Linked DNA regions of Lytechinus pictus. The protein of the gene in region 1 purifies or fractionates together with the protein of each later gene. This does not show direct contact. Links are inferred from orthologs where the notes say so. Each region holds a gene or a part of one and is shown in the gene's direction. Other genes may lie near its edges. The genes, in order: mini-chromosome maintenance complex-binding protein-like, DNA replication licensing factor mcm2-like, kelch-like ECH-associated protein 1B and DNA helicase MCM8-like.

The links.
Region 2: the proteins of mini-chromosome maintenance complex-binding protein-like (region 1) and DNA replication licensing factor mcm2-like purify together in Homo sapiens (co-immunoprecipitation; 6 studies listed by BioGRID and IntAct, with this or other methods). This does not show direct contact. The link is inferred for Lytechinus pictus from reciprocal best matches to the Homo sapiens genes MCMBP and MCM2.
Region 3: the proteins of mini-chromosome maintenance complex-binding protein-like (region 1) and kelch-like ECH-associated protein 1B purify together in Homo sapiens (affinity purification with mass spectrometry; 3 studies listed by BioGRID and IntAct, with this or other methods). This does not show direct contact. The link is inferred for Lytechinus pictus from reciprocal best matches to the Homo sapiens genes MCMBP and KEAP1.
Region 4: the proteins of mini-chromosome maintenance complex-binding protein-like (region 1) and DNA helicase MCM8-like purify together in Homo sapiens (co-immunoprecipitation; 3 studies listed by BioGRID and IntAct, with this or other methods). This does not show direct contact. The link is inferred for Lytechinus pictus from reciprocal best matches to the Homo sapiens genes MCMBP and MCM8.

What each region holds. Positions count from the first base shown.
Region 1 is NC_087256.1:19,441,395-19,449,738, forward strand, and holds the start of mini-chromosome maintenance complex-binding protein-like, read left to right. Parts: upstream 1-4,684; 5' UTR 4,685-4,944; coding exon 4,945-5,002; intron 5,003-5,786; coding exon 5,787-5,866; intron 5,867-6,452; coding exon 6,453-6,593; intron 6,594-7,739; coding exon 7,740-7,883; intron 7,884-8,344. Other genes in the region: phospholipase DDHD2-like, read right to left, coding at 425-639, 1,371-1,748, 4,445-4,559. UniProt on the Homo sapiens protein: Associated component of the MCM complex that acts as a regulator of DNA replication.
Region 2 is NC_087247.1:54,894,036-54,902,375, forward strand, and holds the start of DNA replication licensing factor mcm2-like, read left to right. Parts: upstream 1-4,874; 5' UTR 4,875-5,312; coding exon 5,313-5,318; intron 5,319-8,340. UniProt on the Homo sapiens protein: Acts as a component of the MCM2-7 complex (MCM complex) which is the replicative helicase essential for 'once per cell cycle' DNA replication initiation and elongation in eukaryotic cells.
Region 3 is NC_087255.1:5,859,567-5,867,322, forward strand, and holds the start of kelch-like ECH-associated protein 1B, read left to right. Parts: upstream 1-4,566; 5' UTR 4,567-5,160; intron 5,161-7,756. UniProt on the Homo sapiens protein: Substrate-specific adapter of a BCR (BTB-CUL3-RBX1) E3 ubiquitin ligase complex that regulates the response to oxidative stress by targeting NFE2L2/NRF2 for ubiquitination.
Region 4 is NC_087251.1:4,115,852-4,123,934, reverse strand, and holds the start of DNA helicase MCM8-like, read left to right. Parts: upstream 1-4,759; 5' UTR 4,760-5,069; intron 5,070-7,715; 5' UTR 7,716-7,788; intron 7,789-8,083. Other genes in the region: disrupted in schizophrenia 1 protein-like, read right to left, coding at 1-125. UniProt on the Homo sapiens protein: Component of the MCM8-MCM9 complex, a complex involved in the repair of double-stranded DNA breaks (DBSs) and DNA interstrand cross-links (ICLs) by homologous recombination (HR).

The sequences.
Region 1 (8,344 bases):
CATTTATCTTCATTACCAGCTCCCTTGGAAAGGGCACTAAATATTCTGTTGGACCTCTGTTTACTTCTTAACAAGCATCCATGCTTTCTTAGCAGTCAGGCTAGAGCCAGGATAATAGCAGCGCTTTGTATCCTCAGGTAAAAAGCGCTTTATAAATTCAGTTAGATTCTTATCATCATTATTATTTCTAACCATCATTTAGTCAGTTGGTTGCTGTAACATTTTCTTGTACATAAAATTAAGAAAAGCCTTTTTAGAAAATAATTTATCAAAGGCCAAGTTCATCAACAAGTTGATTTGAATAAATAGTGAAATAAAACGAGCAAACAAAACACTGAATCATAATTACTAATAATACAAAACACCATGACACACTTTCAAAAGTAAAAATTTCATGTAAACAAATTCTTGAAATAACCCGTACCTGCTGTAATTTTGGAGGTGGCGCCAAAATGCCTGGGGGTAAGGGCCCGCTTGCTGGAGTCACACCATCTATTGGGTATGCCATGGGCTTGTGTTGGTACCCTTTAATACCAAACCTTGCCCCAGCTTGTCCAGAGGGAGGGGTGGCACTTGGTGGAAGAACACCAGTTGGAGGAGGAGCACTAGGGGAATAGCTGGTGACTTGAGGTGGTGGGCCTGCGTGTTTGAAAAAGTGTATTAAAAAAAATATTTCATTGATAAAATGAAATTCTACATGAAAATTGAATCCAGTAAAACTTAAAAATTGTTGTTCAATAATTTCTACAATGTTTGTGCATACAAAAGGAGATTTAAAAAAAAAACTTTTGAATAGCTAAAGGTAAATTGTTTTTAACAATACTTACATAGTTAGTGTTGGAAGTTGTGGTATGAGCAAATTAAATGAGTTCAATGGTATCCCTTTTAAAATACAAGTTTATTACAAGTTTAGAAAATCATCTTTAGAAAGTCCTATTTAATACTGATCTCATTCAATAATTTGAGAAAGGTCAAGAAATGAAACATAAATTCACTAGGAAATCTGCCCACAATGGCTATTGCTTATGAAGACAATTATTCTTATCTTTGTACATTTAGCATCACATAAGGTTCTACTCTATTCAACACATGGCACAGAGAATTTTCATGCAAGAGGACGCAAATAATCAAATTTTTGGCATTATCACAAAGTAAGTCACCCGTCAATTCGCTGCCATTTATTTTGTCAGTGCTGGTGATGTCCTTGTCCTTCCCCTCCCCTTGTGACATCACTCCCATTGTCTTTGTACACAAATTGAGCTAATACAAGGGAAGAGAGGTGACAGATTTCGAAAGGAGGCCACATTTCCTTTAAGCATATAAATACAGTTCTAAGCTCATTGAATAGATGGGGAAAAATGAGGGCATACCTGGAGGGGGCTCATCTTGAAAGTGTACTCCACGAGGCTGAGGGGGTATATTCTGAGCTGATGTGAACGGCACTGCCTGGGGTGGGGCCTGCACTGAAGGCGGTGGCCCAAACTGGTTTGTCGGTGCATATGTTGGCACAGCTGCAGGACCCGTCAGTGGGGCAGGTTGGGGCAAGGGCGAGGCAAAGGATGTCTGACCCTGTGAGGATATTCCTGCGAATGGGTCTGATGGGGCAGGGCCCGAGGTCTGCTGCTGTTGCTGGAAGTAGGAGAATGTTGAGGGTGTGGCTTGTTGGTTTGAGAGTGGGGGTGGAGCCCCTACTTGGAGATCTGGAGGATCATTCTGCCCCAAGAAGCTATCCGCTTCACCGTCTTCATCTGACAATACAAAGAAAGATACTTCATAAATCTTTTAGTTTTTCACAGCTGGTTGTACATAGTGTTACTCATATTCAAGGGACGTGTCATTGTTTCTGCAATTTGTTGCTCTACCTTGAACCCTTTCGACTTTATCTCAGTCCAATTTATACCGCAAATGCCACAGAATGTTACTATATTCAAGATGAGGTTGTACAAGTATGGTGAACAAAATGGAAAGCATTTCCCTTGATATTCTCTGAATTTCTGAAATGTTATCTTAATCATTCCAACAATTTGATTTGCTTTCTGCACTACATTTGACACATGCTGGTGTAAATTTAATTCCCAACAATAATTACTCCAAGGCCTTTTTCACTTTTGTTGGGCTTCAACTCCTCTCCATTCATGATGCAATTATTATGAAGATTTTTCTTTCCCATATGAACCACCTTACATTGTTAAACATTGAACTTAAGGCATAAGCTGCCATCTTTCAGACCTTTAAGTTGCATTGTACAGGTCGGTTCGGATAGCTTCAATAAATTTACTAAGCACATGTCAATAATTAAGATGTTGGGTCAATCATAGAGGGGCTATAGCCTGGTACATCAATTGGTTTATGAATCCAAAGTCACAAAATTGTATTTTCTTCTTGGTTAATGATCTTTAGAATGTTTGCAACAAATTAATGAAAGCTTTGTTCAAATATTAAAATTGTGTAGCTTTAGGTCCCCCGATCACAGTACGACAATACACCAGACGGTGGCCTGTACTTATAGAGAAGAAGAAGAAGAAGATCATACTATTATGACACTTTTTCAGCATACATGTAGCGCACACTACTAGTTAGAGTAAAACCCCCAAACATCGGACGGTTCCAAATATCGGATGAAAATTACTTTAACTCCCTCCCCACAACTACAGGGACCCGCACTGGTGGGGGACTTGCATGCATGAGATACATGAACATATCTGCTATTGAACTGCACACACAGTAGATCCAGGTTGCTGCTCAAAAAAAATATTCCAGGGGTTAAATCCAGGGGTAAAATCCGTGATTTTGACTTCGAAAGATTCTTATGACCCTTGCAAATAGTACCTAGCAGCTCATCAACCTTGTGACAAACACACTGAGAGAATACCGACTAGGAGATCATTTGGGTGTGGAAACGACCCACAACGAACAACAACAACAACAATTGCTAATTATGGACACCAAAAGATCAATGACCAAAAAAATATCGTAAGGAAGTGATTTCCGCCAGAAATATTGCTGCCGAGATCGCATATATTTGATCTATCGTAAGAAAAATAAAGAAAATAGTTATTACTTAACGATTTCTATATCAAAATTATTGATAGTAATAATTTTCTCAACAATCAAGCAATTATTTTGATGTATAGAGCGCGATTTAAATTGCCGAAATTGATCGCGGCGCACAACTTGGAAACTGCGTCCGATATTTGGCAAAAAAACAAGCTTCTGGTAGTAAGCGAATAATTTCCGTTTACCATATTTTTTTCATTTCTTTTTTTTTATGACATTAATATTCAACATTTGTATGGTGGTGTGACCTTAATTCGCGCGTTACCTAATTTTTCGCACAGTCGAATATTTCAATATCTAATTAATATATTGAAAAACTGATATCGCCAACAGAAAAAGCGATCCAAAATTACAATACAAAGTATGGTAATTTCCTTGAAGGTAAGGTCTCAATTTGTGAAAATATTGGCAAAACATTGGCAAATTTTGTTACCTTTTGCGTCTGCTCCGAAAAAATCTAAACTTCTCGACAAGCATCAAGAAATCGCCAGTTTGCAAGCAGAGGTATCCAAATAAGTAAGTCAAATGTTATGGCATTTTAACCTCCATCAGATATAACTATCTTACCTTTTTCTGTTTGATTTTATTTTCTAAAGCTGTGCAAAACGATTGTGCGCAAATTAAGGTTACACTTTTTTATGACGCTTTTTCAGCCGTGCCCGCACTAGTCGATCGTCATGGAATTTTGAGATCGCGATACCGGCGAAACCCTTGGCCTACTTTCAATTCCTTCAAGCTCATGCTAATTTGACTTTGGAATCTTGCCTTCCGTTTGTTTGGTGTATTATGATTTTGATTACTTTTGTGTAAACTGTGAGAAATTTTGGATTGAAAAAATCAATTTTTAAAATGTGCGCAAATAATGGTCACCCCATCATACTTATGAAAATACAAATGATTTTTATTTGATTCAATCAATGACAATGATTGATTTTTTGTTTTGGTCAAATTTAAGTGTCCGATATTTTGGGCACATACTTCTAGATTCTACTTCTACGATACTCAGCAGGAGACTTGCTTTTCAAAAAGATAAAAGAAACAACCCAAACACCTATTCCCTACCAAAATTTTGTCTTCTATCTTCTTCTTCGATCTTCTGTGTTGAATTCCTCCGTTCCCTGGAGAACTGCAAGCCTTTAGTTGCAGTGCAGCATGGTAAAATAATGAGCTATGTCACTGTTTGCAGCAGCTTGATCAACAAGGCGCTGTCTTGTTGTCTTGTTGTCTTGAATCGAAACAGCAGATCGATTGTTTCTATGTCTATGATCATAGATTCTGACTAACATTAACAATGTGACAAAAATATAAACAAGTGGGACTAAATAAAAAAGTGGGGACAACATAATGTATGAAATATCCACCAAATAAAACATCTTGGAATACTAACCTGTAGGAAATAACGATGCTGTTGCAGGCACGGGTCGAAAAATTCCAGGTGTTATACTATCATTAGTCGAACATAACAATAAAGGAGGTGGGCTGTTCCCTTTTTGGTCTGCCATATTCACCGGTTCGGTTCTGTTCGATGTGTACACGTCATATATCCGCATATGAATGAGGTCAAAGGTCAATTTAAATGTCCGGACTTTCCCGCGCCACAATGCAAATTTCGCGCGATGAATGAATCATGTGTGCAAAGCATTGTGTTGCAGTGGGGCATTTAAATTTGCTGTGTTGATACGATATACGGCCGGCTCAACGTGAAGAAAGAGAATTTCTTGCACTTGGAAGATCTGACTTTTCTGTGAGATCTAGGAACAAAATTCTCGTTGTTTTCTTTTTGAAGATCTGAGTCGATTTTACTTTTTTTGATATCATCATTTTCCACTGAATTGAAGTGCCGAAGTGAAGTTAAGTGAAGTCAAGTCAGAGTCAGACTTCTCAATCATGCCAGGAATAGATGACTGGGTGAATTCACCTCTTGACATTGTACAGAGTTTATTTGGTGAGTAACGAATTCATGGTTTGGATGAGGAAGGGGATGGAAAAGAAGAAGGAGATAATAGAATGAAGAGGAAAAGGAAGAGGGGAAGGGGGAAGAAGGAGGAAGGAAGAAGGAGAATGAAATATATGAATGAGAACAAGATTCAAGAAGAGGAAGAAGAAAAAAGAAATATGGAGCAGAGAAGGAGTTGGATGATTTTCCTGGTATTGCGTTGAAATTTGCTCTACATTTTTTAAAGACTGCTAGATCTAGACTCTACACCAAAATTCTTTTGTGTAGCAGATTATTTCCACATAGGCCTAAGCAGTTTATCTAAAGAACTTGGTTGCGAGCTTTTCTCTTGTGACCAAAAATGCTATTTTGATCTTGACTTTGATTTATAGCAAAATTATTTCCTGGGGAAGAAAGATGGGAAGAGAAGAAGTAGAAAGAGGAATTAGGAATATTAAGAGAGGGTTGTCTAGGCCCCTAACAATAAGAGGAAGAAGAAGGATGTGATGGAGAAAAAGAAGATTAAATGAGGAGGATTGAGAGCTAAAGAAGACAACAAAGAATAATTGGAATGAATAGTCTTCTTTTGGTCTTCTTCATGAGTCTGTGTAGTGCATCATGTGCATGTATTTTATTGGCACATTATTAGTATTATAAAATCAAGAAATACTGTAGCTTGACAAGACAACTTAACTTAGATAGTCTGGTTTAACTTTATTTTTAAGTTAAGTTATTGAAGAGACTTGAAAAAGTCTACTATTTCTTTATTGTTTGTTTTTCAATTCATGTGCAGATGCTGAAAATAAAGAATGGAGTAACAATGTCGACGGGTACTTCAAAAATCGTCTGAGTGATTTCACAGCATGGCAGAGGGTAATTTTTTTTCTGTTGATACACAATTATCCTTAGGAAGAGAGGACTTACACTTCTAATGGCGTTGACTTCTACCTTTTAACTTCTTTAGCCTATTGTTCCTTTTTTACACCTTTCTATTTAAGACAAGGACCATTTAAATCTGCTTTATTACTGAAGAGTAAACCTTACTGTATACATCTTGTGGCCTTTTATTTTATTTTCAGCCATCATTCCCGAGATCCAAGTTATTCCCTGTTAATTGTAATTGTTGTTTTGTTCAAGAGAAAAAAATGTACCTGATTATACCTCGTCAATGTGTTTTATATCAGTTTACATGCCGAATCAGTCAGTAAGCTCTCATCTGATTTCATAGATTTCTTTGGACATGTACATGCTTCTATTTCACTCATCTTTGAAGATTTGGTGCTACATCCAAGACAAAATTCTCATTGTTTGTTTGTAATATCCATCTCTGTTCTTCAATTCGAACCACAGAATCCCCGTAATAATTACCATCGATTGATGGGACATGTAGAATATACTTTGTTGAAAAGTTCTGTGCTCTGAATATACCCTTCCTGTATTATTTTGGGTTTTATTTCAGATTCCATCTCTTAACCACACACCGCTCCACACATTAAAGCCCAACTCACTGGTCCGGTACCGATGTATGGTGCAGGATATGTTTGATCCAGAGTACTACCTTGGGGTCTACGAGGTCCAAGATAAAGCCAGCAATACCACAGTAAGTGAATAGAGGTTGACCCAGTCTACCAAGAGCAAACTGGGATGGGGGTGGGTTGGGGGTGCAAAATATGGAGGGGTTTGAGAGTCAATAGACCAGTTTACAAAGTCACTGTCCTAAATCACTAGATAATATAGAGGTTGACCCAGTCTACCAAGAGCAAACTGGGATAGGGGTGGGTTGGGGGTGCAAAATATTTACAGGGGTTTGAGATTCAATAGACCAGTTTGTACTTACAAAGTCACTGTCCTAAATCACTGGATAATATCCCACATATATTTAAGACCCTAGAGGAGTCTTTGTGCATTTCGATCAGACACAAGTAACATGGGTTTCCCATGAATAGCTTTTAATTCCACTTTGATGAATTAATACCTCGGTTTAGATATCAAAGAATGAAAGCTCTTTTTTATTCACCCACTTTATATGATCAAGGATGCTTGATGTTTGGAATACCCATTTGCCTTATTTTAGTGTTGCTATGTCGGGAGGTCATCTAAGGTTTTTTTTTTTCATTTTAGTTCACATGGCCTTTACCTGCTTTTACTCAGATTATATCTACACACTGGCTTCAGGCCAGTTATATACCTCAGTCACATTTGCTCTGGCGGCTGTACGGCGAGTCGAAAACAGCCATTTTCACATTTTTGTAATAGCTACATACAGGTGGTTTGAATAAAAATGAACCTGCCGTACCGCCGCCGTAGAACAAATGTGACTGAGGTATTATAAATGTAAACGTCGGCACAATACTAGTGCCAGGAGGCCAACACCTTCCTTAAAAATCACCCAATGGCCTTACCATTTGAGGATTTGTGTGGAATATACAGTGTTTATTTTTCTTCAAATTTTTTCCTCCCTCAGTTTAATAAGTGACTGGATGGTATTGGTATTGAATGCCTCATGTAGATTGACAATAATATTGGTTTTATGATGTCTTATGTCTATCTGTTTTATTTTCTAATTCTATATATTAAAAAAATCATTGTTGAAATGGATTACTTGTATACAGGGTACCCTTGAAAACAAAGCTAGTTAAGCTAAGTTCGTCGGGCTAAACTATTTTTTTTTTAATGAAACAGATGAATAAATGAACAGATGCAGTTAGGTAAAATTGGTGTCATTTTTATTTTCTCTTTTCTGAAGTTCCTAAGAACTGGGAAGTATCAGGATATAGCAGAGAATAGTCGCGATCTAGAAGTCAACCTTGAATCAAGAAGGAATGTCACTTGTGATCGTCAGACATTATATTGTGTTCCAGTACCAGGAGAAAACAACTGGATCAAACAAATATCCTTTTCTGTTGTAATACTTAAAATAGAAGTACATGCAGTAGTAGTAGTAGTAGTAGTAGTAGTAGTGATAATGATGGTGATAATGAAGGTGATGATGAAGATAATGATGATAATAAATCAGTAAATAATTAATATGATTTTCACTCAAATATGCAAGGCATGCTTGTGACATAGAAATAATTTCAGAAGAAATAATTAGAAGAATATAATGAATCATATAAAGTACAGGTATGTCTTGTTTTATCTTGATGTTTGACAGAATAAAGGATATCTCCATTACGGGGTTATAGGGCTGATTGTTCAACACAAAAAATAAAAATAAAGACTTACAATGATAAGTGTATTGCAACGTGTAATAAAAAATCAGAATGAAACTCACTTCTCTTTCTCTCTCTTTAATTCTTTTTTAGTTATTTTGTTTATAAAATAGTTCAAATGTTCATGAAACATTCCTTT
Region 2 (8,340 bases), on another chromosome or scaffold:
GATTTTCTTTAATAATTACTAGTGGATACCATTGTTGAAGAAGATGTAAACATAATATTAAGAAGTTGTGATTATATTAATTGTGAGGTATTTGATCAGAATAAAGAGGGAAATTTTAATCTTATGCATTTGAATGCCAGAAGTTGTGATTATATTAATTGTGAGGTATTTGATCAGAATAAAGAGGGAAATTTTAATCTTATGCATTTGAATGCCAGAAGTTTATGTAAAAATTTTGATGATCTGTTACATTTACTGTCATGCTTAAAACATGATTTCTCAGTAATAGGTGTTATACAGAAACTTGGTTTGAAAGATGCTACTGATATCCGACTGTTTCAGATACCTGGCTATTCTTGCGTTCATAAATGTAGGGCAGGAAAATCGGGGGTGGGACATGCTTGTATATGTAAAAGATGACATAGATTTTGAATTACGTGAAGATCTGTCTGGTTCTAAGACATGGTATGAAGTAGTCTTTGTTGAAACAACAATTCACTCTGAAAGGTTATTATTGGTTGTGTATATAGGGCACCAAACTATGATAGTATGTCTTTTATTGAGGATTTTGAACATCAGCTACAGTTTGTGAGTAGAGAGAACAAGGAGATCTATTTGATGGGTGATTTTAACATAAATTTATTGAATTATGATAATGATCAATGTGTTAAAAGTTTTGTTGATTTTATGTACTCCTTTGGAATGTTCTCTCTTATCACAAAACCTATCGAGTGTTACAGAAGACAGTGCAACCCTGATGGATGCTATTTTCACTAATTGCATTCAAAATGAATTTTGCTCTGGTGTAATTTACTCAGATATTTCAGATCATATGCCCATATTTTGTGTAAGAAAGGATGTATTTGCATTTAAGTTGATGACCTACTCAGAATTTATGTTTAGTAAGTGTGCATAATTATGTGGGTGAATGCGGTTGTGTGTGGGTGTGTGTGTGTATATATGTGTGTTTGTAATAGTTTTCCATTCTATTTTTAGCATCTTAACCTTATTATATATCTATTTTTTCCCTCTCCTTTTGTATCTTGTAGATCAGTATATACTATGTTTTATGTGAATAATCATAAGTATTCTCACAAGCTTTGCTTTTAAAGGGGTCCTAAAACGAATTCGTCTATGCTATAATATAATTGATGTATGTTCATGCACTCATTTACGTTGTATGTAATATCTATTTTGATTATGATGTGATGTTTTTGGTTTTGAATAAATAAACTTGAACTTGAACTTGATATATATATTGAACATTGAAGGTGAGTGGAGTGTCTCCACCACCTGAGATTTGCCAATGGTATCATTCTAATTACTGATGATGGCCACAAGCTAGAAAATATGCTCAACGATCTCAACACTGAAAGTAACAAAGTAGGTCTGAAGATCAACATGAAAAAGACAAAAATAATGTTCAACAAATTTGCTAAGGAGGAAAGAATCATAATGGATAATTCTGAAGTCGAGAAAGTAGATCATTACAGCGCGTCCCCCCAAAAATGTCCCTCTGATATGCGGCTAAATTACTTCAAAAAATAAAAAAATATTCTCAATGAAATGTATAAGACTAGGAAGCTCATATCATGTTCTAACTTCTTTAAAAATCTTATTGGTCTCGCTTCAGTGGTTTTGAATACACAGTCTATTATGTAACAGTGGTGCTTTTCAGCCCATTCCAAGTTTGCATGCATGCAGCACTGCTGTGTGTTCTGCACTTTCTAGCATATCAACCCCCTTTGAACATTCTGACCAAGGTATTCCCTGATCTGATCAGGGAAGTCTCCATGATCTAACCAAGCTCATCAAATCACAACCTTGAGCATGTTCAAAAGGGCAAAAGCAATATTTGACAGTTCATTTCATGTTTGATAATAGGAGATGCACAATGATTAAAGACACTAACTGGTCATGTCTGTTTCATGCCTAATTCATGCCTACTTCATGCCTAATACTGCATTTTTGTTTTCATTATTTTTTTAGTTAATAAGCTACTGTGGTCAATGAAACTTTTTAAAAGAAAAAAGAGGTCAATTTTTTCTCTGGTAAAGTTTCTTTTTGCAAAGGGTGATTAACTTGTGGATTCACCTTTATTTTTCAGCTTATTTTACTCATCCCTCATTCACATTTTCTTTCCAAGTTGGTGCACTGATTCCCCGTATCATCTTGGATGTACAAATGGGGGTTAATATATGCCATAGACAATGCAGAAATGCATCAATGCTGCAAACTTGGAATGGGCTAAAATGCACCACTGTTACGTAACAGAGTATGTATTCAAAACCGCTGAAGCGCGACCAATGAAATTTTCCCAGAAGTTAGATCATGAAATGAGCTTTCTGCTCATAAACATTTATTTGAGAATACTTCCACATTTTAGAATTAATTCAGCCCTTTGTCAGAGGGACATTTTTTTGGGGACGCGCTGTATATCTACCTTGGGCAACACGTCAGAATGGATCATGAACAATTGGAGGACAAGAGCTGGATGGATCGCTTTTGGGAATTTCAATGACATTATGAAGAGCAATATGCCAATTTGCCTTAAGAGAAAAGTATTTAATCAATGCGTTATACCGGCAATGACCTATGGTTCTGAAACCTGCATGGTCTGTAACAAAGAAAATGGAACAGAAATTAAAAACCACTCAACACAGTATGGAACGTATAATGATACGGATATCAAAACGTGACAGGAAAACCATACAATGGATTAGGAGCCAGACTAGAGTAATAGACATAATCAAAGCAATTAAATCAACGAAATGGAGAATCAGATGGGCTGGCCACCTTGCAAGATCACATGATAATAGGTGGACCAAACGCATTACAGAATGGAGACCATGGCTAGGATCACGAAATCGGGGTAGACAAAAATTGAGATGGAGTGACGAGCTCACAAAATTCATTGGCATAAATTGGATTGCATCAGCACAAGCATGACAAGACAAGCGCCTTTGGCACCAACTTGAGGAGGCCTTCGCCTTGCAGTGGGCTGAACATGGCTGATATGATGATGATGATGATGATGATGATATAACCAAAGGGAACATTTTAAGCACTTGTATAAGAAAATTGTTGAGGAGATATGGATCTAAATGTTTTATCCTTTTTTTTTTACAAGAATCAAGTTTTTTAAATAGATTTTGACATCATATTAAAGAACATATCATATTTCACCCTTTTTCTTTTCCTTTTCTATTTTTTCACATTTTGTTGTTGTTGGGGGTCCATCATGCACCCTCCAAGTCCAATATCTGAAGGGGGTGGGGTGCTAAAGACCGGTATTGAAGAATACACATGCATTATTGAAAAATCGACATGAAAATGGGCCATATATCATTACACTTGTTAGTTTTCCTGAATATTTCTATTCACATCAGAAACCTGCATGGATCTTTTAAAGAACAAAAATTACTCTTTTTGTGACATTCAGAAGAGTGCTGTCACGACATTATTATTTCTTTTAATTCTATTTCATCTTGGATTTGATTTCTTTCTCCACCCTTCTGTTTCTACCAATATCTAGAAGGATTGGTTTCATTAGTAAGACTAATCCAGAGAAAAAAATTGTCATCATGTATTGGCCTACGTACGACAATCAATTATAATATTACACAAGTCATGATTACCATTATCCCCGGGCTATCATCCGATCAGCTTGTACTCCCTCGTTATAGGCCTATCAGGGGTGATAACATTTTATAGGCCACCCCATCTGAAAAAGAGGGGGTTATCCCCCCCCCCTCCCCGGTGATCGACATCTATATGCTCACAGGAGTGCGAAGCGCGAGCCATTTTTAAAAATAATTATAATGACCTGAAAGTTTATAGGCCTATATTTTCCAATATTACATAAAATTATGATTAGGCCTATTTATTTATTTATTCATTTATTTATTTATTTATTTATTAAAATTTTTTACTTCTTTTGTTTCTCCTCCTCCTCCTCCTTCAAGTGAATATTATGTAGAATAAATGAGATAGCAGACTTTCACAGGAAATCCGCCATGCAGACAATCCTCCCACCAGTACAAAAGATTCACTGCAGATCTTTGCTCCTATATAAATTGAGGCAAAAAAATGCCTTGATTTTTTCAAATATATATAAGTTTGGCAATTTTTAGTAAAATTTAATTATTACTTTGCATCAATTTTACTCAAGTAAATTAAGTTATAACAACTTAATTCAATTGAGTAAAACAATCACTCAAAAAAACTGAGGGGGGAGTGCCGGAGTGGACTTTCGTTATTCGAAAGTCCGTTCCCCCATCGTCCCACTTTAAGTAATTTTGGCATCATTTTCACTTTAGACATTTTTATCCAAATATTAGACTTTAATGCATTGTCACTATGCCTGTAGGGCCTAAATGATAGGTACCGGAAGTACTCGAACATTTACATTTATACGCGACCGGTTCATCCTAACAAATAAAATTGATAATATTAACATTTTCCGAAAACCTAAAAAGAAATCAGACGTGTCATGACTATGTTCAATGATGCTCTTTCGTTGATTCAACTAAAGAATAAAATATTTTGCACACCCAAATTCAAAACAATTTCAAACACAAATAGATATTAACATTTACTTGCTCTTACCTAATATTTAGGTATTGTTTGAATAAGGCGTTAATTGAAAAATATAAGTGTATTGAACATGATTTTATAAGTATAGGCCCTAACCGGGGCCCTAATAACTATCTTCGCCTATTTGGAGTTAGATCCCGGAGTTAGATTTTATACTTAATCGAAGCATAGACCTCGAAGCAAGCTATAGCAAAATAAATCAAGTGAATTAAAAGACAAGTTAAATCTATTGTTTAAAAAATAGAGAAATAATTACAAATAACAAATTCTACTTAGTCCAGCAGAAAAACCGACAAAACGATGGAGACACAGCATTAATTTGGTCTGTTATTCCCCTAGGCTAGCCTCAATTCATTCACTTTTCGTCTTTCTCTTTAATATATCCCCCCTTCCTTCACTTTTTTTTTTTTTTTTTGCACCGCCAATATGGAACTACTGCAGCTTTCCCATGGGTCCGCCAATGGTAAATGTGAAAAATGTAAAGTGGAAAATTAATTTGAACCTGGTTTACTGTGTTCAGAGTCTGTTTACGCAGACTACTTTCTTCGTTTTGCTCAACAGTTTCGCGGGGATTTTGATCACGAGTGTCCTATTGCGGGAAACAGCTGGCCGCGAATTTCTACACATGTGAACATTGGTGCAGAAAGAAAACAAACTCCGAGTGAATCTCCACAGACCGATTGCACTGCAACAAATTTTGTTATATCTGAGAAAAGATGGCTGTAAGTATTATTGTATTTTTCTAAAGAATATTGAATCTGAGGATGGTTTAATAAATGAGAAACCTGATGTGAAGACCGATAGTCAGACCGAGACGAGTTGCGAGTTGATGTTGTGATGCGGGTGTTACTAGATTTAACATTTTAAGTACCGCCGCCTACCGGTACCGGTATGGTTTGCACGTGTGTAATTGTTATATGGGTATTTAAAAATGGTGGAAATTTTACATCTCCTGATCGTGGCGTTTGCGTTTTAACGTCGCGACCGTTAGACTTAGAGTCTCGGTATCAGGGCATAATTGTACTTGATGCCCCCAGGGGACATCAACGTTTTTACCTTTTGGTACTCCTTGATTTCCCGATGATTCTTCGTTACCAAAATGTAAACATTTCTTTTCTCACTATAAAAAAAAATAGAAAGTAGTTCTGGTTTGCGCTAGCGCACCCCATATGAGATGCGAGTACAAATGCGCAAACAGGTGCATCTAGATGAGCGCGCATCCTTGCCTCCTCATCTATCCTCTTATTACTTGCACTTGATGCCCCCAAAATTGATGAAAGCAGTGATCCGGCGAGTAATCCTAGAACTAGAAGTGTTGACAAAATTAACCTTGATAGCTAGAGAATAAACTCTCTATTATTACTTGTACTTGATGCCCCCAAATTTTCCAGTTATTCAGCATGTTTATTCAGAAGTTTACATTCCACTAACCCCATTTCCCCTCTTTTTCTATTTTCTAGCCGCGCAAGCCTTCATAACATCGTCGAAACGAATTAACCTTATTGGCTAAATTAACCTTGATAGCTAGAGAATAATCTCTCTATTATTACTTGTACTTGATGCCCCCAAAAATTTCAACAAAATTAACCTTGTAGCCAAAATTAACCTTGTTGGCAAAATTAACCTTGAGAGCTAATGTAACCTTGAGAGCTATAGCTCGTCTCTCTTATATTACTTGCACTTGATGCCCCCAAAAATTTCAACAAAATTAACCTTGTAGCCAAAATTAACCTTGATAGCTAATGTAACCTTGAGAGCTAAAGCTGGTCTCTCTTATATTACTTGTACTTGATGCCCCCAAAAATTTCAACAAAATTAACCTTGTAGCCAAAATTAACCTTGTTGGCAAAATTAACCTTGATAGCTAATGTAACCTTGAGAGCTATAGCTCGTCTCTCTTATATTACTTGCACTTGATGCCCTCAAAAATTTCAACAAAATTAACCTTGTAGCCAAAATTAACCTTGTTGGCAAAATTAACCTTGAGAGCTAATGTAACCTTGAGAGCTATAGCACGTACGTCTCTCTTATATTACTTGCACTTGATGCCCCCAAAAATTTCAACAAAATTAACCTTGTAGCCAAAATTAACCTTGTTGGCAAAATTAACCTTGATAGCTAATGTAACCTTGAGAGCTAAAGCTCGTCTCTCTTATATTACTTGTACTTGATGCCCCCAAAAATTTCAACAAAATTAACCTTGTAGCCAAAATTAACCTTGTTGGCAAAATTAACCTTGATAGCTAATGTAACCTTGAGAGCTATAGCTCGTCTCTCTTATATTACTTGACTTGATGCCCCCAAAAATTTCAACAAAATTAACCTTGTAGCCAAAATTAACCTTGTTGGCAAAATTAACCTTGATAGCTAATGTAACTTTGAGAGCTATAGCTCGTCTCTCTTATATTACTTGTACTTGATGCCCCCAAAAATTTCAACAAAATTAACCTTGTAGCCAAAATTAACCTTGTTGGCAAAATTAACCTTGATAGCTAATGTAACCTTGAGAGCTAAAGCTCGTCTCTCTTATATTACTTGTACTTGATGCCCCCAATTACTTTATTTGTTGCGCGATCAACCGAACCACGCGCGGATGGATATCAACTCGCCGATGATAAACAGGGTCGGGTCGAGGATCCACGAATCAAGGTAAAAAAGTTGATGTCCCCTGGGGGCATCAAGTACAATTATGCCGGTAATAGTCTAGATCTAGGTCTATGTAGGCAAGTCCAATAATTTAATTATCTAGAGTCGATCTAACTGAACTCGTTAACAGTTAGATCTTGATGGACCTATATTACTTACAAACATGCCCGGGCCAGGGGGGGGGGGGCACTCAATATATAATGCATAGTGGGTATGTGCCGCGGAGGGGACCCCCATTTTTACACTCAAATTTCCATTCCAAGGCATAGCATTTTTGTCTTATTGAGAAAAAGAACAAAGAAAGCTGCTCCAAAGCATAGCATTTTCTTATCGAGAAAAAAGGAAGAAATCTGCTCCAAAAAGACCAAAGCTTCGCATATTTTCTGTTGTGCCGTTCCGGCCGCGCTTGATGTAATACAATGAGCCGCAGTTTTGGTGAAAAGTGGCCACAGAGGGCTGTCCGACCGTCGCCTCTGCGCTAGCGTACCCGGCGCCCGTGTTGCCGGGCTAGCTGCATGCACGTTCCTTCTTCTTTGTTGTTCTTCCCCAGGTATCTGAGGATCAGCGGCTATCCACAGGTTGGTTGTTGTGTTGAAGTAATTTCTCTAAGACTAAGCGAATATGATGAATTTTAAGAATGTATCTGAGGCAGTGGGTCATAACATTGGCAGCAAGAGTGACAGATAGGTGCGAGGAGGGTAATAAGATATTAGTGGCAAGGATGAGGGGATGAGCAGAGGTGAAGGCTTGGCTAACTGAAGCAGGGAGGCTTAGAGATAGGACATGTTGAATTAGAACAGACCGTTCCATAGGGATGCATACGCAGGCGACCCGTTCATGTTTTCACAAACATTTCGTTCCGAAGCCTGTTCCGACCCTCCTTTTTACAATAAGCCCGCTCCAAGGCCCCCGTTTTTTGTCTCGCCCACGGCATACTTTTTTGGTTGAGTCCCCCCCCCCCCCCCCCCCCCCCCGGGAAACATGACAAATGGACATTCTATAAGAGCATTTTACGACCACCACCTGTTTCCAATCCTCTAGAATTTTACGCCCAAATGAAAATCAACTTCTGACCGAAGGTAAGCGCGACTATCGACA
Region 3 (7,756 bases), on another chromosome or scaffold:
TCATGTATTGGACTTGCTCCGTTGTTGGGTGCTTTGTTTACATATAACCCAATCTGCTGCCTTTGATCCAGTGTATTTTGGAATGGAAAAAAAATGAAATCAGTGTGGATTGCGTTTTTTTTTTTCAAAACTGAAATATATGCCATATCATGTTCAGAATAAGTAGGCAGTACAGTAATATTGCAATTCATCAATTTGATATCAGGGCCTGCTTTGTGGGAATGAATGTTGGTACCTTGGACTTTCAAGATATGGATTGTGATATGATAGATGATGATGATTATGATGATGATGATAGTGGTGGTGGTGGTAGTGGTGGTGGTGGTGGTGGTGGTAGTGGTGGTGGTGGTGGTGGTGGTGGTGGTGGTGGTGGTGGTGGTGGTGGTGGTGATGATGATGATGATGATGATGATGATGATGATGATGATGATGATGATGATGATGATGATGATGATGATGATGATGATGATGATGTTGATGATGTTGACGATGATGATGGTGATGATGATGATGATGATAATGATATCTATAGTTCCATTAGCTTCATGACCTTGCCCCTGTACCTTGATTGTTAGCTATTGTTAGCTACATGTAGCTCTAAGTTCATTTCTTTGCTCTAAGCTCAAGTACTAACTAGCTTTTTCTCAAAAAGATACACCCATTGTATTTATAACTGTTTTGGTAACTGCTCTCTATGCTAATTTGCTCTAAGGAGGATATCTATACTTTGGGGATGAATAAAGCTTGTTTTCTCAACACTTTGTAGAGTGTTAATTGCATTTCATCAGATCATCGTTTGAATAAAGCTCACAGTTCAAAGCTGGGTACCAGAAAATCTTTTAGTCAAATATACTGTCTGCCTTGGCTTATCGTTCGCCTGTAAAAATAGGTTGGCTAGAGTGTCAAGTTTTCATGCATTGTCATTGTTTGATGAACATACAGAGCTACAGTCGTGTACATGTACTGTACGTATGTACGTAACTATGAAATTGTGTTTTTATACAGAGAATCCAAATTCAAGCTCATATTGGCTGATTCGAGAGACTCTTATGTATCAACACGCTCAACCTCTAGGTGGTATATGTCCGGGGGGGGGGGGGGGGGCAGTCAAATATATTGCTGTTCACATGCGTGGCCAAAAAAACGCATTTTAAGGGGTGTTTTTTTTTTCAGCTGTGGACGCGGGCTGCGCGTGCAATTGTTAAGGGTATCAAAAACACTGATTTTCAAGAAAAAGGGTGGTTTTGAAAAACTGGTCAATGGTCAATCGCGGGGTCAAACGTATTTAGGGTATGTTTTTTTAAAGACTAGCCAAACCTGTTTAGGGTATGTTTTTTCCCAAAGCTTTTACCCCGAGGTCATATTCTGGCGACAACTTGTTTGGGGCCAAATTGTGTAAATAAAGCCCACAAAAAACTTGTTAAGGGGTTATCTTGCACACACAGAAAAAACTTGTTTAGTGGGTGTTTGGAAATAATTTGGTCATGCGTGTGTTCAGCAATACATTTGACTGCCCCCCCCCCCCCCGGCATATGCTTTGTTTAAAGAGTCTCGGCAAAATTCAAGCAGTCTTCCGGCATCCTCTCAAATCCGCCTGGTACATGTATCTGCTGAAATGCATTCCAATGTTTGATTCTCTGTATGAAACATGAAAATAGTTTTAGACAAGTTTCTGATGTAATTTCGTGAAACGATTCTTTTCAGTGGGTCACGATTGACTTCATTTAGTAGGTGTAATCAAAATAGGTGTGTATAGACTCCCACTCAACAGAGCGTTTCGAAGAATCGCATTATCCTCATTTTTTTCTTGGGGTATATAGACCTGTGCTTTTGAAATATATTGTGATATGGTTTAATCCCTTATCATGTTTGTGCAAACAGTAAAATTCAGCAAAACGTGGTTTGAATTTCAAAATGCTGTTTCTTCCTATTCTTGCATTGAATGCCATTGCTATTAACTCACAAAAAGGGTTAATTTGGCTTTGATATCGTTTCAACAAGTCAGCCTCCAGGCATAACTCTGCATCACTTATCAATGCATTTTTTACACAACATTACATTTCTTGATACATGTATCTTTGCTTGGGTGTTAAAACCTTGTAATTCAAAATTTAACAATTTTTTAGGGCAGGCCAGAAAGAGTCAGTAGCGTACGCTGGGGGTGGTTGCAGGTGTTCAACCCCCCAAAAAAAAAATGTTGAAGACTTTTTTTTTGGCTTGTCAAAATTTGTGAAGACCTTTTTTTTGTTGTTGTTGTCAACTTTTCATTCAGCTTGAACCCCCCCCCCCTTTCAAAAATCCTGCGTACGCTACTAGAAAGAGTTGTATTTTATGATATGTATAGTATATTATAGCTTAGCTGGGGTAATATAGGAGTGCCTTGAGCACCTAGCAAGGTAGCCTCTTGTCGAGGCCCTGTCGGCTGCTTTCCGAGCGAACATGGCAAAGCAAGGGAGAGAGCGAAGCAGAGCGCCGCGAGACAGGGCCTCTTGACATCTGTGCCGAATTTCACCGACTTTCTTTTGTTTTTTATTGTTTTTACCAATTCACCGACCAAAAACTGGTCGGTGAAAATCATCCAATGAGAGCGCGGGCTGCTATGACGTCATATTAAATATTCATGAGCTCATCTTGAATAACGACCCTTTGATTCTTGGCGAAGAGTGACGACGAAATATCAAAGAGCATTGAATATGCCTCTAAAATGCTGAATATTGACCGATTTAAGGATTTGCAAGTCGATGAAATTAACTCTGCACTGAAAGGACGAGATGTCTTTGTAAATCTATCCACAGGATATGGAAAAAATTTAATATTTCATGCGATTCCACCGGTCGATCCGGGGCGTCGATTATCAATCTCCGCTGTACAGTGCATGCAGTGAAGGAAGCTGGGGTGGAGTTGCTGGGAGTTGACTCGAGTCTGACCAGCGGCTGAGCAGTATCTCCTGGGAAGTTTCGGGGCGGTGATGGGTCTGTTACGGCCAGTAGTAGTAGTAGTAGTAGTAGTACCACAACTTGTAGCATTTTGCTGGTTATATCCCCTTTAGTGTCCCGCAATTAAATGAATCCCCTGCAGAATAGTGGACTACTATCCCGGACTACTATAGTATTCCAAACCCAAGTCGAAACAGCTCTGACATTTCATTGGTTTACTCGGTGACCGGTAATATCATGACTCATGTATATTCATTAGGAAAACGTTCCTCATGAATATATAATTCGGTTCAGATGTCAAGAGGCCCTGGCTCGCGCCAGGCCTAATTCGCTTCGCGAATTAGGAAATCCCTCGCTTCGCTCGGGTAGCAGCCGCCAGGGCCTCAACAAGAGGCTACTAGCAAGGTGGATATGTGCACTATACAAATCCTATATTATTATTATTATTATATGGCAGTGGGAGCAACCTCATATTATCAGGAAACAGTCTCTTATTTCCTGTTGAGAACCCTTTCTAGGCAAAGGAAGGGTTCTTTATGTTTATAACTCTGGAATCAAGTTCTTTTTTAGCTATCTGTATTTCATTTATTTCTTTTAAATATGTATTACAAAATTTTAAACTCAAGCGACGATGTGCACCTGCATACAACTCATGGATATTGCACAACAGCTAGGTTTTTTTCCAACTCGTTGTCTTGCACAGTGTTAAGCAGATTCCCATCAATTGTGATTTTTTTAAATCCAAGTTTTACGTTTCTAAACATTCATGTAAAGGTAAGTATAAACACACCCCATGGCAGCGGGTGTGTGCTGCTTTCTGAATTTCCAACTTTGGTTTGTCTCAAGGAAACATCTTCACAAATTTTTCTTTCTTTTCTCATCTTCACATCTTTATAATTTAAAGGGGAGTCTATGCTGATGTCAAATTGCTCTTTATACAGCTAGGAAAGTGGCAGTTCTCCACCAGTTTTGAGCAGTTTCATATATATAGTTATTAGTTTACAGAAGGACTTATACATTAATCGTGGTTTTATTGGTACAATCATTAAAAGTAAACATGTGAAACAAGTAACTCTTCTATTAATTCTCAATGATTTGTATTAGTACACTTTCTCTTTGTTACATAATGCAATTCAAGTAGTTCCTGTTTGAATATTCTATTTATGGAAACTGGTGTTTGATATATCCCATTGTCTGAGTCTAGTCTTGAGAAGGGATTTAACTGACACTTGTTTATTTAGACCCACTTTTTATGAATCCAATGGAAAATGTGTCTTTGCAACACTATGATGAAGCCAGGCATCTTATCCACCAGGTTCTTTTTTTTTTCAAATAAAGAGAGGGAATAATTGACTTAATTCCCATTCACTTGGTTCATTTGTTAGATAGAGCATTTGTATCAGTTATTTTATGCTTCAATAGATTTCCATTGGACAGGGAGATGGATCAAAGCATAATTCCGTGATCAATAGTAGGTGTCCTATAGCCAAGGTACTTAGGAGTGATTGTGTGTGTAGAATAATGCTGAGTCACATATTCTTTAATACTCCACACTCAAAACCCTGACTGATCAGATAACATGCTACAGTGACCCTCACCTGCAGGCGATAGCATATTGCACCGTTCGTACACACACACACATACACACAACACACACTCTGTCATAAACGCACAGTCATGCCATGGTCGTGCATGCTGTGTGGACTCCCAACTCCTGCCTGCGCACGTATCTACCCGCCGATGCATTCTGGAAGGGAGATACGTAGGCAGTTGAATGAGTCCCAACCGTAAAATGGTTGGCTCGTAGCCGCCGCCGCAAGTTGAAGGTGTTTATAAGCAAGATGACTCGGAATAATTTGGCAGTATCCTACTTTACACTTGCTAGACGAAAACCGGCTTTTGTCATATTTCAGAACTACTAAATTCAATTCGGCCTGCAGGATATCTTTGTGTGTTTATAATTCATTGTATACCTCTGGTTTATCGCCAAATAGCATTGCTGGAATACATGTGCATCATTATATTCAGGATTTGTTTACCTTTACGAGTACATGTATGTGATTTACATCGAAAGATTCTCTGAGGTGTGCTTCGTGTTTCAAGTAACGAATAATCACGGAATAGTCACTGGACTGCTCTGAATATTGCGGATCTATCAACTGCAGAAATATTTTGGAATACTTTATTCTTGTCTTGTCTCTGTGTGGAATTTATTTCAAGAGTGGTATGTTTTACTCATTTTTTGAAGAAAACATATTCTAAATCCTCAGTATCATATTTTGTCTTAACTACCCTGTATGATGAAGATTAATTTTGTTTTGCATGATTGAAGAAACCATGGTGTATATAAGTGTAATTTCTTCAGTTTTGTTTTCATATTTGTAGGCCATGTATAAACTGAAAGACAAGTTTATTTCCTTTTTTTACTATATCATATGGTATTGAATTGATTTGAATCAAAAACATACTTTTCCAATTTTATACCAAATGTGTCAGCATATTTTGATGATGTATAGGCCCTGTTGGATATCATGCCTGAATTAAGGCCTCCCTGTTCTGTTTTTTTTTAATAGTCATTTATATTTATATAAATTTGGGTGATACTGATAGAATATCCCTCATTGATTTCCTTGTTTTGGTACATGGTTTCTAGTACTTACTTAAATGCATTTAAATCTCAGAGCTGCAGAGGCACATCTTACTTTTGTGTAGTGCATGTCACTACTCCAGTTCTTTACTAGATGAATGAATAAATTTGTAATACAGGATAAAGTGTGAGATTTTATGCGAAATATGATTGACTTGGGTGCCCGATCCAGTTAAAGTGTCTACATATTTTTTTTTACCTGCATGGAATGGACCCCAAAAATTCAAGTTGTACATAAATCTATGTAGCTTTCTTATCATATCATTAAATTTCTAAATTATGTGTTTGATTATCCCCTTTTTTTAACGAAAATGTTTAAAGTTGAAATAAAAAAAATTCAAATAAAAATGAAAATGTCGTTTAGGGGGTACTAGACATATAGACTAATCTTAAATTTGAATTTTAAAGATAAATGAAAGTAGTTGTAGTAAACACTGATTTCACGAGAAAATCTGTAAAACCAGGCTTAATTGTCACTGTATCATCGAGGATCTAGATATGGTACAGTTACATAAACTGAACTTTGTGAAATCTTAAAATCTACGCTGAAAAATGTTCACACTGAAGATCACCAACACAGACAAGCGCACGTGGGACAGTGTATTATTCTTGCTTTGGATGTCGGCCCGACGCTTGACCCGAATCCCGTGCTTATTTGCTAATTTCTCAGCAATTACACAATTTCTTCCAGAATCCTTTGGCACATATTTTTTATTTATAAATACAAACAGACACTTTAGTGGTCATTTCATTGGATTCTGTACGAACTCATTATGATATCGTTACCACAACTGGCATTTATCATAAAATCAAGAATGAGAGTTGAGAGTAGAGAAAATATGCTGACTCAACCTAAGACCACCGAGCCAGGCAGTGATCATCCTTACGTAACCAAGTAAATGATAAATGTGACAGTTCCACCATCCGTGCTTGTAATTATAAAACCTACATGTACCGGCACATGGAGCATATTTTATTGCCTGCTTCTTATTTATTATTACCCTATAACACTCTGTCGCTATTTAAATTCAGGTTGTCTCATATACATGATAGTCTTGAGAGGAAGTAGGCCTATTTGTATTGTTTTGAGAGGAAGTATCTTAAATCAAAATACATGTAATGACAACTGCATGTAGGTGAAGATTAAAATCATTAATATGAGTAATTATACATTGATTAAGATTTATTAAGCTGCAGACTGTTTTGTGCTTACTACTAGGCAATAATACAAAAATCATTCGACATTCTGATAAAAAAATATAAATTCTTATTCTGATCCTAAATGCCGGCCACACAATTACTATCGAACTGAGAAAGAGAATGGGAATTGTGATCTCTGATAAAGTATGTTATTTTCTTAAAATTGGCAACTGTGAAGACATTTAAAATGGAACTGCAATTATTGAATTTTACTTATTATTATATTCAAACTTCATATCTTAAGAGACCAGAATATGTATTGATTATTGTCATTTTAGCATATTGTTATTTAAGCAGTGAAAAATAGGAGTATAAATGATTTACATGTAGGGCCCACAAAAAAGAGTCTATAAATGTATTGTAGTATACATGTAGTATAGAAGTCCCAGGAATGATAGATCAAGAAGCGTTCACTCCCCTTTCTGGGTCCTGATTTCAACCCGAGCGAGCGATCGGTGTCAACGAACAGCCACTCGGGTCGCCCTACAGAACCTAGCGCACAGTAAAAGATGCCGAGTCAGCAGTCTTGAGATTCTGTCTCACAGTGACCTGAATGACTCCACAAGATATCTTGCAATGATTCATAGCAGATGGGTCGAGGATCAAACCCAGGTCCTTTAATTGGATGAGATATGGAGTGGTCCAGGTGGGCTTGTAGTGGATCGACTTGCTCGATTTCCATGCGCTCTCCGAAAGTGGTTGGGAAGGAATCTGATTAACCTAGCTACGGTAATCCATTTATTTCCAACCCACTAATTTGGATGATTTGTATTAAGTAAATTTCATGAAATTATGCCAAATTCTTCAAGGTTTTCTAGATCCACACAGTTTGTGTTCATAGGTTGTTGTGCACAATTAGCCAAATTAATGTTAATATAACCTGAGTTTAATCTAATTCTGTATGGATTCACAAACACTTGAAAAAAGGAATTGAATCCGGGGAGAGTGGAATTATTTAGATTTTATACATTTC
Region 4 (8,083 bases), on another chromosome or scaffold:
CTTATAAATCCAAAGGCAGATATTGATTGTTCATTGCATTCTTTCTGTTCCTTCCTTGGTTTTGAATCATCTTTATTCGTCTCTCCCTGCCCTCCACTGATCTTCATTCCACTAAACAGTGACATTGTCAATCTATACACCTACATGTAGATTAAGAAATACAATTATCGTTGAATGACCAAAACAAAGTTTCACAGTCCTGACCAAAGTCAGTATCTGATTTACCTTCTGCTATTTCAATAAAATGTGCATATCTGTGTGTGGCATTTTTTTCAAAATTAATGTTGATATTTTAGCGTTTTTAGAACAGCAACTGTTAAGAACCACAAATTAAATTTAATTCTTTTTTCAATAACAGTTAAAAGCTACAGAAATCCTTCATTGTGATTGGCTAATTGTAAATTTGTTAATAGAAATTGTACATTTGTTATAATAACAAGTCTTTATGAAACGGGATCCAGATGTAAAATAAGAAAGGTATGACAGTTTCTCATATTTTTCAAGGTTAAAGGCTTTATAAAAAGTAGAGAGTTGAATGTGTCACTCACTATTTCTTTTGACAAAGAGACCCTCCTGATTGAACCGAAGAATGCCAAAAAGAAAAAAAAAGGTAATTCCATGTGTTCAGGATGTAATAAAACTTTTGTTTCACATGACAATGAGAAAATTGATATTTCATACAATAAAATACAAATAAATAGTTAGTGGGTGATGTCATCAGTCCCATTTGCCAGTTTTTTAGCCGGTAGAGTAAATTATACAAAATAAGGCAGCCATTTGTCTTTGAACTAACAAATTTTGTAATTAGATATTGTTAGAAATAAAACTACAAAAGATTACTTTTTTCATCCCATTCCATGCTTAAGAAGGGGTATTTTGACCAGGAACCTGATCAAAATAAAATTTTGATGTAAAATTGATCCAATAAAACAGCATGTATATATGCAAACTGTGTAATCTTAGTGAAACTTCCAAGCAGTCCGAAAGAGGAGTGTCCAAGAAACTCTGGTATCTTTTCTTTTATTCAACTTCACGACTTCAAACTTTCACAGTATGAAAAAGAAGAATTGCTCTTTCAGATAAGCTATTTTTTCTAATTTTTGTTGTTGGAGATTAAATTACTATTATGGCTATTTACAGAGAACCTTACCTGGCAACTTATTGGTGGTTTTGGGGTGGTAGGTCACATATGGTAGTGGATTGTATCAGCGAACACTTTTCATGAATTCAATCATATCAACCACATTATTCTCATAAAATTCACCAAACTTTCACCATAAATACACAAATACCTACAAAATATAAATATGTAAAAAAAAATTGCAGTACTTAATCGTATTTCTTTTTCACGATTCAGCTTCCAATTGGACCCCTCTTCGCATGTAAAATATTTTGGTCACTTGAAAAAGGTATTGTATTACCGAGTGTGTGTTTTCTATGGGAAAAGTTGAGAAAACAAAAAAAAATGAGCTATTTTTACCATATTTTATAAAGACTTTGAAAATGTGTTTTTGACTATTTTTCATTATCTTTTTATTCAAGTTCCCTTTGGAAGGATGTTGCAGTCTTGAGCATATGAAATTATTTTCTAATGCACATGATGCGTGTGTTCTGTAATACAAGGCTGGTCGGTAATACAATCACTCACTATACACATTCATATACATGTAGATCGAATCTAGAAATGAATTGGAATATATTTATAGTGACATGCAGTTTGGGGGAATAACCAAATCTAACTTATAATGTCGACATGTGACAATTGCTGCTTGCATGGTCTTTAAACCCGGGCAGCACCCCCCTCTCAAGTTTAATGTTGGCTGTCAGGCCACTGCATCATTTATTTTAAAGTATTCTTTTATCGCTTCTTCCAGTGAATACAAGCATAATCTGGCTTCATAAATTTCATAACTTTATAAATGATACATCACAAGTGATCCATTCATTTTCCAATTCACAGAAAGAAATCAAGAAATACAATACTGAAAATAGAGAGAAAAAAGGGTGGCACTTCCATTGACGAGTGGTCAGAGTGGATTCCATGCATGACCTTGGGGTTTCAAAAAGCACCCTATACAAGTATTTTCCATGTTCTGAAAATTCACCCCTTAACAAGGATTGGCGTGTAAAACCCTAGGGCCTATACCCTTAACAAGTATTGGAAACAAATTTAACAGAACGGTACCCTTGACAAGTATTCCCTGAATGGAACCCCTAAACTAGTACAACAATATCTTAAAGGAGAAATATATTGATTATGAATATGGCCTTATTATATATCAGTGGAGAGGTAATGATGTGAGGATTACCATTAGGTCATTCAAAAATAACGAAAATAATACATAAGGTGGAAATCGCCAATTAAAAAGCGCTAAAATGCCTCTCCGAAATATGCCTCGCATCGGTCTCTGAATTGACTCGAATTTGATGACGTCACTGTCTGTACGAGAGGCGTGATTGGCTCTCCCACGTCAAGCTCCACTTGCATGCAAAACCTGTTGCGAGGGTACGTTTTCTCCACACTGACACTGAATACTTCGATCATGAAATGAAAGAAAACCCAGAAGTTTATCTAGATTTGGATTTTCAAATTGATGATTATGCAGATGAAGAGAATGATGATAAAGTTTCTAACTCTAGAAAAACAAAGTGACGTGGATGGTGGTAAATTAAGGGAATTACGGCGGTGATGATGAGTAGGACAATTCAACTTGCAAGCCGATTCGCTACCAACGCATGCAGCTGCTAGCTGCACCGCGGGTCAAATCCATGAAAATGAATTCCATGTAGCATGACCACATCCACACAGAGTCTCTTTCCTCTATCAACAACATAATGAGAAGGAAAATAATAAAATAACTGTACTTACAAATAAGTGAATATATATCCGAACCTAGGCTGAAGGTAAATCAACTCAAGGAATAGCAGCAGACGATATGCACCGACGATGAATTTCACGTGGCTGGAATAGATTGTCACTCGTTCTGTTAGATAAAATGTATATCTCATTATTTTGACTAAATTACGAAACTCGGAGAATTAGTATTTTACATAAAAATTAAGTAACACCTGGTACTATTTTTTGAATTACGATAAAATATTTTTGAAGCAAAGAAATTGAGGTAAATTAAAATAAGATATAAAGGATCATCCCCTTAGCCGCATGCGATTGTAAACAAACAATCAAAAGCACATGGCCAGCTTGCTCCACTGAACTGAAAATACGTATTTTCAGTTCAGTGGCTTGCTCGCCCATAGAGTTGGATAAAGCGTAGCTTTATCCAACTCTATGTGCTCGCCTTGCTGATTGTTTACAATCGAATGCGAGCTAGGCGGATGATCTTTTATATCTAATTTTAATTCACCTCATTTTCTTTGCTTCAAAAAGGTTTTATCGTAATTCAAAAAATATAGTACCAGGTGTTACTTAATTTTTATGTAGAATACTTATTCTCCGAGTTTCGTAATTTAGTCAAAATAATGAGATAGAAATTTTATCTAACAGAACGAGTGACAATCTCCCAGCCACGTGAAATTCATCGTCGGTGCATATCGTCTGCTGTTATTCCTTGAGTTGATTTACCTTCAGCCTAGCTAGGTTCGGATATATTCACTTGTTTGTAAGTACAGTTATATCATTATTTTCATTCTCATTATGTTGTTGATAAAAGAAAGAGACTCTGTCTGGATGTGGTCGTGATGGAATCCATTTTCATGGATTTGACCCGCGGAGCAGCTATCAGCTGCATGTGTTGGTAGCGAATCGGCATGCAAGTTGAATTATCCGACTCATAATCACTGGCGTAATTCCCCTAATGTATACCTCTATCCACGTCACTTTGCTTTTCTAGAGCTAGAAACTTCATCATCATTCTCTTCATCTTCATAATCATCAATTTGAAAATCCAAATCTAGATAAACTTCTGGGTTTTCTTTCATTTCGGGATCGAAGTATTCAGTGACAATGTAGAGAAAACGTACCCTCGCAACAGGTTTTGCATGCAAGTGGAGCTTCACGTTGGAGAGCCAATCACGCCTCTCGTACAGAAAGTGACGTCATAAAAAATCCCCAATTTCGCGGACGTAATTCTGCGTGTTTGAAGCATTCAGAGAGAGAACTTTAAACTATCAATTAACTGAGTTCCATCGGTCTCTATGATAAATGATTTACACCATCGTGTTCTCCTTATTTTCTCCCTTAATTTGATATATGATTCTCCATTTTTACGATTTTCAATATAGTTCTACTTTAACTGTTAGGTTAAGCCCCGGCCCGTTAAGGACGTCGGCTTATTTACCTTAGCTTTACTTTCCCTGGGTTTTGTACCACCCAACACACCTTGCTCAAATCGGACCCTTTGGCTTTAAAAAGTTTTTTATACACATATTGGGGCAAAAAGTACATCCTTATTCAAGTATTTAATCTTTTTATACCCTCGCAAATTGGACCGTAAACACATAGTTTTCCTGGCGAAATAGGCCTTTTTCATTATTTTCGTGTTTTTTACACCCTAAAATAAGTAAAAAAGATACATGTAGTACTAGTAACAACTAACAATAACATACACATGGTTTGTGAAGAATGAAATCAACGTCTGGTGAGTTGATGAAGATCCATTGGGCACTAGACTATCCAACTCCAACTCCGAGAGAAGAAGATTGAGGAGTCATTCAATCAGCAACAATTGTAGATCTACTGGTAACACTAACAGTTAGTATTTAGAAAGGCCATGGCATGGAGTCTATGGTCTGGAGGTATACAGATCCTACATGGAGATCGCGGGGTAATGTACGTTTCGGTTTTCATCAGCGAATTAGTCTTATTTCCAATTTTCCACTGCTCACCTTTGCACCATGGTCGGGACCCACTCACACAACATGCGAGGCAATGGTGATTTTATTTCCTTTTTTATTTACACGGCCTCACGTCCCATCTCATTTCTTGGCCCCCAGCATTGACTCAAAGTTCGACAAAATGTGCCTTTTGGTAGACTAATTTTCACAAGCCAAGCAAGAGCAGAGTTTCTGGCGCAGTTTTCGAATTCTGAAGTCGATTAGGCCTATATTATGTAAGTAGATGGTAACTGACCTATTTTACTAATTTACGGTACCGGTACCTGAAAATTGATTGAAGATATTCATGGTATCTGTGGTCTCTTAGAAATTGATATCCAGTTTTGCTCGGATTTCTGGCTGCTCCTTAAGTTAACCCAGCGGGCTGGAGCTCCATGGCCTGGCTGGGTTAGTGGCTCCTTGATCCTTAACCCAGGGGTCTCCGGCCCGCGCAGCGCGCCGGAGCCCAGGGGCTTACCGTGTATCTGACCGGGACTAGCGTGATTTATGGTCTAAATATTTCTCCAAATGAATTGTGAAAACAGAAATTATGCACTTACCATGATTATATGGATGAACATGAACAAGGTCTAACGAGTGGCAGTTTCCTGACATCGAACCTCGAGGCACAGACTGGAACTTAAAAAAAACGAAAAGATCTCTCCTACCCCCGTCTCGATCGGCCATTTTTGTTATGAATCAATTTTCACGGTAAGCCCCTGGGCTCCGGCCCGCTGTGCGGGCCGGAGCTCCCTGGGTTACTTGATCCTCAGCTCTAACGTATACCCAGTTGTTGTGTGTCCGGACAGGCATGACAGGTTGTGTGGTACGGACGATCAATTTTAGAAAGTCATTTGGAAAAATTTACAAGCGAAGTTTCATCAGTTTTTAGTATGGCAGTGTGTCCAAACTTCGCGCGTGTCCATACTTCGCGGACGGTCCTTATCTAAAAAACTAGCAAATATCCTTAAAATCTGACATCATCAACGTGAAAAGCGACCTAAAATTACCGTATAATGAAAGTTTCTTTATGATGAGTTCAGTATTCATGAAAATATTGGCAAAAGATCGGCAAATTTGTCACCGCTAGCGCCCGTTTTGAAGAAATCACAAGCATCACGATATCACCATTTTGCAAGCAGAAATCATCAAAAATGTGAGTTAAATGTGGTACTAACCGATTCCATAGCATTTTGCCATCAATCTGATTTAATTTTTCACTTTTTGAACTTGAGTTTTTGTTTAAATCTCCACAAAAGCTTTGGTGCGCGAAGTTAGGTCACACTTTTCTAAACGGTTTTCCAGCACAGCCCGCATTCGCCGATCAGAATAGAATTTTGAGATCGCGATACCGGCGAAACCCCTTGACCTACTTTACATTTTCGTCCATGATTTTATAGTTTACGATCTTGCCGTCAATGTGGTAACTATTTCTTGAATTGGTTTTGTATAAATTATGAATATTTTGCGAACAAAATTAAGCCTGATGAATATTTTTGAAAAGTGCGCGAAGTTTGGACACCCCATCATACAAAATATTAGGAAATATTATAGAGAACAAAATAGAAGATGATTACTTCCATTGAATTCATATTTTTAGTGTAATCCTAAGACAAAAAAGAAGGCTTCAAAAATATAAAGTGTCCGGACACCCGACCCCCCATCCTACAAAATGTTAGGAAATATTATAAAGAACAAAATAGAAGATGATTACAACTATTGAATTCATACATGTAGTGTAATCCAAAGACAAAAAAGAAAGCTTTAAAAATATAATGTGTCCGGACGGCAGACACCCGACACCCTATCCTACAAGTTAGAGTCTAACGTTGGCTCTGCGCTCTCTAGCAGCTAGCCTCCGCCCGCTAGTCCCAGCCGGCCGGGAGCTCGCACGCCTGCTCTGCTTAGCCGTATATGCCAAGGGAAGGCGGGCACAGTAAGTTGAGCATAGGGGGGGGGGGCAAGTTGAGCCACCACCCCCAGCCAGGCCAATAATGAATGAGTCAGACATTGTGGTGGTGTCATGTATTGATGACCCATTGCATAACCCCTAACAACAAAAAGTATTTTTTAGAGGGAAAAATACAAATTTAAGCCCAAAAAGTCAAAATAAAGGGTGTGAAAGAGATTTAAAGTGTTTTTTGCACACACATCTTTAAATATAAAGACATGCATAAGAACAACGTTGTTAGTCTAGGTATGGATCCTCATTCTTGTCAAAGTATTTTACATGATGGATGCATAAGAAATGTGTGGATGTGAAAATATCGCATTAACTTAGTTTGGATTGGGGTAAGTTGACCCAGCCAACATGGGGCAAGTTGAGCAATGGAATTCTTAGTTATGGTAATGTATAAAAAAAACTTTAAAAGCCATTGATTTGCAGGCAGAAAGGAGCAAATTTACATGACTGTTCTTTTCCTTTTAGAGGATGTTAGTATTTATAGAGAATTAGCAAGTGAATAGACTTTGAATAAAATGCTGGTTCTTCCCCCATACATTTTGTACGGTATAGTTTTTGTGGCTCAACTTACCCCACAGATGGGCAAGTTGAGCCATTTGACACCTCGATCTTTTTTTAAAGGTGACAATGATCGACTTTCAGTGTGGGGGTAGAAAGTTATATTTATAGGTGAAAAATATTTCAGAAGAATTACATTTTAAGGCAAGGTACTTATTTCTACAAGATTATTAATCATATCAATTCTAACATGCAAAAAGCAAAAAGTGTCACAATTTAACTTACCCCGCCTTCCTCTATCATTGCCTAACTACAACTTAGTGTGCATGTAGGGGCATTCCATAAAGGTCAGACGTACATTCGGACACATTTGAGAGCCGTATCTTCTTTGATTTAATAACAATGTTTTGTTTTTTCCCAGTACTTAGTAGCATGTGATGACAGGACCAGGCCCCAGCCAAGCACTCATTCAATGAACAAGGTTATGATATACCGTAAGTAACGGTGTATTAACCGCACCCCAAACTTTGGACTAAAAAAAAAAAAAAAAAAAAAAAAAAAATCCTTCTCACATTTACATGCATATTTGAGGTACGAAGAAACAAAAGCTAAGTTAAAGATTTCAAAGTATTCAAAGAGATTACCGGTATGCGGAAATCTGCTGTTCTTTATCAATTCATCTACAAATGTTAGCAAGAAAGAAAGGTCCCGACAATATTGGCCACTTACACACTCACTCACCTCACAGTCACAGTGTACACACACACAGCACTGCCGTTCTTGTACATG